Linked DNA regions of Elephas maximus indicus. The main gene of each other region encodes a partner of the protein of the gene in region 2 in a complex. Links are inferred from orthologs where the notes say so. Each region holds a gene or a part of one and is shown on either strand. Other genes may lie near its edges.

Region 1 (3,747 bases), on a different chromosome or scaffold from region 2:
CCCTCCACCTGGTGCGCCCGGGCCTGAACTGGGAAGTGGGGGGTAGGGGGCGGCCCCAACCCAGCAGCTTGCAAGCCCACCGTGCCCCGAAAGTCGTCTTCAAATGGCAACCCTCCGGGCTCACCTCCCGGGCCGGGGCGGACGCAGAGAATCCCGGGGAGCACGGGGACCGGGCCGAACCTTGGGCTGGAGGGCCCCCTGGCGGCGGCGCGGCGACGGCTCCCCATTGTCTCCGCCGGGCGGAGATCACAACGGCCCCCCGTCGGGTGGCGATTTCCGCGAAGAAAGGGGGCCGGGGGCGGGATCGCGCGCGGATAAAGCCGGGAAACGTGAGAGGGTCGGAACTGCAGGGGGAGATTCAAACAGACGGCTTTTAGGTCTGGGGATATGCAGAGGCCTTGGGACTGTCGAAGGAGGGGTCTGAGTGTGGCCTTTCAAGGGGAGGGGGCTCTAAAGCCGGGCGAGGCTTTTCCGGACCGCGGGTGAGAAAAGCAAAGCTCAGTGACCCCCAATCTCCGGTTCCGGGATTCCTGCCTACGCCCCTGCTGGCGCTCCGCGCCGAACGCATCCCTGGGGAAGCCAGAGGCCCCGCGAAAGGCTCCGTGGTCCACGTCCTCGCTTAGAAAACCTAACGCCCCCAGCCCAGAAAACTCAGCCTCCGGCCGGCGGGGAGGAGCTCCCCGGACCCTCCAGCGAAGCCGGGCCTCCTCCTCCCCTCGATCCCGCGGCCGGGGCGGGGTCACCGGGGAGGGGGCTGGGGCGGAGGCGGGGTGTGAGTGGGTGTGCGCGGGGGGCGGAGGCTTGATGCAATCCCGATAAGAAGTGCGCGAGTGTCGAGGGGCACCTACTTGCCGGCTGATAAGGCGCGCTATATTAGACAGTCGCTAGCGCCGCCGCGCCGTCGGAACGGGAGCGCAGCGCGCCAGGGCGCCAGGAGCGCACGGCTACCTCGAGGCTAGCGGCCACCACCCGCACGCTCAGCCCGCAGCGTGCCCAGCCCGGCGCCCCCAGCCTCTCGCCGCCGGAGCCACCAGGAGCTGAGGGTGGTGCCATGCCGAGGGCTCCGAGCTGGCGCGCGGTGCTCCGCGCCCTGGCCCTGGCCGGCCTCTGGCTGGCGGCGGCCGCGCCTCCCCTGGCCTTCTCGGACTCCGGGCCGCACGTGCACTACGGCTGGGGGGAACCTGTCCGTCTGAGGCACCTGTACACTGCCAGCCCACACGGCCTCTTCAGCTGTTTCCTGCGCATCCGCGCCGACGGCGCAGTGGACGGCGCGCGGGGCCAGAGCGCGCACAGTGAGTGCCTGCCGGGCCCTCGGGTTCCCACCGTCCCCCTCCCTGGCACCCCCTCCCCACTTCCCTCCGCTCCAGCGGGCCGCCACTCCCGGGAACTCCGAATCTTGGCACCTTTGTGTTCCACTTTCATCCCGGGTCCCCGACCCCGCGCGAAGCCAGGGAGGGGCACGGACCCGGGGACCGACGGCATCCGGGCGTCGCGGGCCCTCGGGCCCCGGCTGCAGCTTCTTACTTTCCTTTCGCCTAGGTTTGCTGGAGATCAAGGCGGTGGCGCTGCGGACCGTGGCCATCAAGGGCGTGCAGAGCGCCCGATACCTCTGCATGGACGCCGACGGCCGGCTGCAGGGACTGGTAGGTGTCCCCACGGGGCGGGACGCGCCAGACCCACGCCTGTCCCGGGCGGGGGTAGGGTTTGCGGGACCGAATCCGGAGTTGCCCGGATCCCCCTTCCCGGGCCCTCATTGAATTCCGAGGGGGAAATGGCAGGGCCGATTAAGCTGCGTCCGACCCCCTCCCAGCCCCCCCACGGAAGTGGGAAAGGCTGCTGTTTTTGGTCGCAGCTTGCAGCGGGAGAGTGGTTGGGAGCAGTTTTTGCATTCCCAATTGAGCTAAAAGCTGCCCGGAGGAAACCATTATCCGCTTCCTTTGATATTAAACAGGAAAACCCACCTCGGCCCATTCAGCCGCAGCCTGCATGTGGGTGGTCCTCCCTCCATTTCCCTCCCTGTGGTTTAAAGAGAGAGAGACCGAGGCTGTATGTTCACAACTTGGATCTTAAATCACTCTTCAAATAAGTCAGAAAAACCCAGTGCGTTGGAGGTTGAGCAGATGTTTAAGCATGAATTTGCGTGTTAGGACGTTTGAATTTCGGCGGTGGCGCTTATCCTTCTGTTGTACTCACCTGTCCGGGAAACTTTTTTTTTGAAGGGGGGAGGGGGCTAGAGGAGTGCATGAACTCCCTAGGTGGTGCAAACGGTTAAGCGCTCTACAACTGCGCAGAAAGGTTGGCAGTTCAAATCCACCCAGAGGCGCTCGGAAGACAGGCTTGGCGATCTGTTCCTGAAAGATTGCAGCCTAAAAACCCTGTGGAGCAATTCTACTCTACATATGGGGTCGCCACGAGTCTCCTTTGCCTCCACGGCAACGACAGGAGGGTACGTGGGGTGGCCCAGGTAACTACTGAAGCTTCTGGGGGAAGAGTGCGCAAGCTGGGCCTCTGGCCCAGAGGGAACAAAGGCGCGCGAGTTCAAAGGAACGAGCACTCGCCCCTCCCGCGCGGAGCCAGGCGCTCAAAGAGCCTGCGTGAAGTCCCGGGGCCCCCCACGCAGCCCGGCTCTGATGGAGAGGCCCGAGCCAGGGGTGGGGGAGGCTGCGCTTCCCGGGGTGCCCCCGCCTCAGCCAAGATGCAGATGCGCGCCTCCACTGGCGCGATCAGCAGCTCCTTTGTGAACCACAGCGCCAAGCTTTTTAGCATCTCTAGATTGTTTTGTGCCTCTGACGGGCATTTATTCAGAGTCCTTGCTTCTTTATTGCGGAGTCCTCTGTGAAAGACTGTGAAAGAACGCAAAGAAAGGAGGGGGCCGGAGTACTGAAAGCTGACCCCTAGAGCCACTCCAAACCCGTAGTGGCAACTTTTGTTATGTTGACATTTACTTAGGACAGGGGCAGCTAATGGTGGGCCTGGCGGAAGGGGCCAGTGGGTCTAACCCAGCCTTCTTCCCCTAATCCAAATCGGGGAGTCTGTTGGGGGGGATCTCTCCACTTAAAATCCCGTTCTGCCTCTGGATCCCTTGGGCCTGGCCCCGCAAAGATCGTGGTTGGTTTTTTTTTCTTCTCCAGCGGAAATTCCCCATTCTTCTATGAAGGTGAAATCGTTTCATTTTCTACGTGGAGCAAGCAGGCGGTGCTACTTTCCCCCAAACAACAGCAGAGTAATGTAGAGGCCTCTGATGCAATGTGTTTTTACTTCTCTTGCTTTTAAACATCTACTGATTGGCATATTTTTGGAAATTCAGGAGAAGTCACCCTTGCCATACTATGGCTTTGTGGTGGCTTTGTGCCAGAGTCCCGAGCCGTGACTGGTTGCGTCATTCACGTTATCAGCATATCTCATCCACCTGCGGTTCAATAACCTCATAAACCTGGGCAGAAATGAAGCTGGGTGCTTCCTGGGATTATGTTTACTGCCCAGCCCTTCCAGGCTGCCCTGTCCCTGGTGCCTTTCAGACCTGCCCCTGAAGTGGTAAGGACACTTTCCAGATTAGCACAGGGCTGGCCCATTGGCACCTCTCTTAGGGCTCCCCCAAAAGCAAACCTGTTGCATGGAGTGGATTCTAACTCATAGTGACCCTGTAGGACAGAGTAGAACTGCCCCATAGGGTTTGCAAGGCTGTCATCTTTATGGAAGCAGATTGCCACATCTCTCTCCTGTGGAGTGGCTGGTGGGTTCAAACCA
Region 2 (3,747 bases):
ACGGTGGATAGCTTCCAACATCGTAGCAACACGCAAGCCACCACACAACCACAAACTGACAGACGGGTGGTGAAGACATTATGGCTAAAAAGAAGGGTGCTGCATGTAGTGAACGGAAAAGAAATGAAACTAAAAATGCAGGCAGGAGCCAGAAAAAAAGTGTCTTTTGTGCTACATCCTAGCACCACTTAATAATCTTTCTGTTTCGGATCTCAAATAAAAATAGTATTTATGAAACATTTACTATCTGCCAGTCTCTGTTATACATGCTTTACATGTATTAACTTATTTAATACAACAATCCATGAAGTAGATACTATGATTATGCCCCTTCATACATAAGAGGAAACTGAGGTTCAGAAGGTTAAATAACTTGTCCCATGTCACACAGCTTGATTTAAATTCAGGCAGGCTCCAGAAACTATTAACTAATTGCTCTGCCTCTCTTTAGTATGTGATACCTCAAGTATTAAAACTGTTAAATTTTTCAAAGGTTATTTGCAGGCTCTAAATTCTGTACAATATTTCTTTCTGTTTTTTCTTGTTTTGGAATCATGGTATTTAAATTGTCATGGTTTCTTATGTTTTAATATCTGAATGTACTTTTTGCTTTCACTGTTTTCTTTTTCAGACTTTGGTTTTTTGTAATTATTGACTATTTACTTAAGTGAATTTTCACAATAATTTTTGAACTAAAATTTGGTATTTAAGAATTTTGGTTAAGACTGTATAGAATATGTATATTAAATTGGAAAATACTTAGCATTTCCATCCAGAAAATGCTATACTTATCATTCAAGTGTTCTTTCAAATCTATTAATACAGTTGTATAATTTTCTCAAAATAGGTCACATACTTATTGTTAAGATTATTCTTATATGTGTGATAATTTTTGTGAAGAGTAGTATTTTATTATTTCTAACTCTTTATTATTGGTATATAAAATTGCAATGTACCCGTAGAAAGATTTTTTCTGAAATATGAAATAATAAAATTACTACTCAAAAACTGTAGCAATAGGTATGTATCTTATTCAAAACATTCAGAGAAGATTTGAGTCAATATGGAATGCTCCACAGAAAAGATGGCATTTTTATTCATTCGGATTTGTTGCTTGTATGTGTTTTAGTTACACATTCAAACTATTGTCACTGATGCATTTTCATCTAATTTCTTCATAACGGGAGAGAACTAAGCATGTTGGTGACTGTAATAGGGCCACCTCCCTCAAATTACGTTGCTCTCCATGACCCATCCTAAGTCTCACAGTTCAAGCTAATCATTGACAGAGCTTTACAATCACAAGCTTTTACTGAAGCGTTGATAAGACAGTCCAGCAGTTAGTGGCAAATGAAGCCAGGCTGTTCGGCAGGATCTCCAGGGAATGAATGGATTTTCTTCAGCACCGATGAGAGAAACACATGCTACAGGAAAACAATGTCCAACGGGGGACTACAAAGATCTGTCATCCTGTCAGCATTTATTCTTCTACGGGCTGTGACTGGATTCTCTGGAGACGGAAGAGCTATATGGTCTAAAAATCCTCATTTTAGTCCGGTAAATGAAAGTCAGCTGTTTCTCTATGACACTTTTCCTAAAAACTTTTTCTGGGGTGTTGGGACTGGAGCATTTCAAGTGGAAGGGAGTGGGAAGAAGGATGGAAAAGGACCCTCTATATGGGATCAGTTCCTCCGTACACACCTGAACAACGTCAACAGCACGAATGGTTCCAGTGACAGCTACATTTTTCTGGAAAAAGACCTATCGGCCCTGGATTTTTTGGGAGTTTCCTTTTATCAATTTTCAATTTCCTGGCCCAGGCTCTTCCCCGATGGAATAGTAGCAGTTGCCAATGCAAAAGGTCTCCAGTATTATAATACTCTTCTGGATGCTCTAATACTCAGAAACATTGAACCTATAGTTACTTTATACCATTGGGATTTGCCTTTGGCATTACAAGAAAAATACGGAGGGTGGAAAAATGAAAGCATCATAGATATCTTCAATGACTATGCCACATACTGTTTCCAGACGTTTGGGGACCGGGTCAAATACTGGATTACAATTCATAACCCATATCTAGTTGCTTGGCATGGGTATGGAACAGGTATGCATGCCCCTGGAGAGAAGGGAAAGGTAGCAGCTGTCTACGCTGTGGGACACAACCTCATCAAGGTACTGTACAGCTGGCTTCCTATTGTAACTTCACAGTATAAGCAGCATGAGTTAGAAAAAATAAAAAATGTACCTTCGGTTTAGAGAATCCTCTTTTCATTAAAATCAACTCAACTAATTTTAGGTCAATGCACAAGTTCCATCAAATTCAAAAATTCATATTTAGAGCAGTGTGTGTTTTATTTATATAAGCTATCAACATATTAATCTGGTTGATTTCATTTATACTTTCAGACTATTTTAAAACCCACAATTATATATTAGAGTGTGAGAATATGAGTTTACTTTCATTTTGTGGAAAGCCACTACTTTACAAATGCAATTGGTGAAAGCTTTCTCTGTCAACATGCAACTGTTTCAGAATCATGTTAAGGCAAGATCATTTCCTATATGTATTTGTTGTTAATATTGCTATTCTTAGTGGTACTTAGCTGTAGTAAACTAAATAATGTTACCTAACTGATACATATGAAATATAGGAATTGAAATAAATATACTTCCAGTTGGTTTTACTTGTATTACATTGCAGGAAATATGCAATTAATTTTTCTGGTGGTTAAAATTAAACAAGTAATACAAAAGTTGGGAAAAACTTGCCTTAGTATTTTAAAACAGTATATTTCAAAACCCAGAGTTTAGATTGGTAAATGTTAAAGTTATTAAAACAATACTGAAAATGCAAGCCAAATAGTAGCTAACATTTATTGAGTGCTTACTACGTGCCACAGACCACATTAAGCACTTGCAAGCACTCTCACATTTAATCCTCGTGACAACCTTAGGGACTAAGTCCTATTATTATCCTCATTCTAAAGATGAAAAAGCTGAAGCTTAGTAACGTTAAGTAACTCGCCCAAGGTTATAGAGACAAATGCAGCTGTTGTGAACATAGGATTTATAAACGAACCACATAACTAAATGCTAAATATCTTTATTTAAGAACTTTAAAAAAGAGTAATCTTTTAGGAATTTGCAAGAGTTTTAGCTTCACATTGAAGCTGCCAGTCACTGGAAGCAGGTATAATTTTTTAAGTCAAATAGATTACTTGGGGAAAGCAAATTACTCTGAACACCTGTTATATTTTGAAAATGGAAAAAAAAAACTTTATTAATAGGGGATGTGCTAGAAGAAATCGTTTAAATTTTGAATAATCAAATGTTACCCAAAAAAAAACCCAAATGTTAAGTATACAGAAATAGAAAATGTATAGAAACGGAAAATTCCTCCATTAACTAAATTTTTTACTTGTAAAAAGATCTGCTAACTCCTCTTTTCTTTTTGAACTTTCTGGATTATTATACATGTGGACTTGTGCTGTGGTTTTAGTCATATCTGCCCTTGCAGTGAACAGATTTCATTTTTTTCAAGTTTATTTGCATATTTTTGAATAGAGTTGTATATAGAACATATTATTAATATGTGAATAAACTTTGATTTGACAAAATAAGAACTTCAGGGGAGAAAACTTACAGGTATTTAACAGCTCTTAAGATTATACATCTATAAGTTAGAAAAAATGCTCCTTTTATATAGTTTTTTAAAAATCTTTAAAATAATACATGCTCATGTAA

Evidence for each region. Proteins that work in one complex are often made in the same cells at the same time.
Region 1: the proteins of KLB (region 2) and FGF19 are in contact, whole or in part, in a crystal structure (PDB 6NFJ), measured with the Homo sapiens proteins. The link is inferred for Elephas maximus indicus from reciprocal best matches to the Homo sapiens genes KLB and FGF19. Residues at the interface, in NP_783864.1 of Homo sapiens: Phe379, Lys380, Val392, Leu394, Trp419, Phe420, Thr421, Asp422, Val425, Thr431, Tyr434, Met435, Asn438, Tyr643, Glu693, Arg696, His743, Asn824, Phe826, Met832, Gln848, Phe849, Leu850, Gln851, Ile853, Leu862, Phe931, Phe942; in NP_005108.1 of Homo sapiens: Leu192, Thr194, Asp195, Ser196, Met197, Pro199, Phe200, Leu202, Val203, Thr204, Ser211, Pro212, Ser213.

What each region holds. Positions count from the first base shown.
Region 1 is NC_064825.1:132,523,372-132,527,118, reverse strand, and holds the start of FGF19 (fibroblast growth factor 19), read left to right. Parts: upstream 1-1,051; coding exon 1,052-1,292; intron 1,293-1,539; coding exon 1,540-1,643; intron 1,644-3,747. UniProt on the Homo sapiens protein: Involved in the suppression of bile acid biosynthesis through down-regulation of CYP7A1 expression, following positive regulation of the JNK and ERK1/2 cascades. Stimulates glucose uptake in adipocytes. Activity requires the presence of KLB and FGFR4.
Region 2 is NC_064823.1:121,435,066-121,438,812, reverse strand, and holds the start of KLB (beta-klotho), read left to right. Parts: upstream 1-1,350; coding exon 1,351-2,175; intron 2,176-3,747.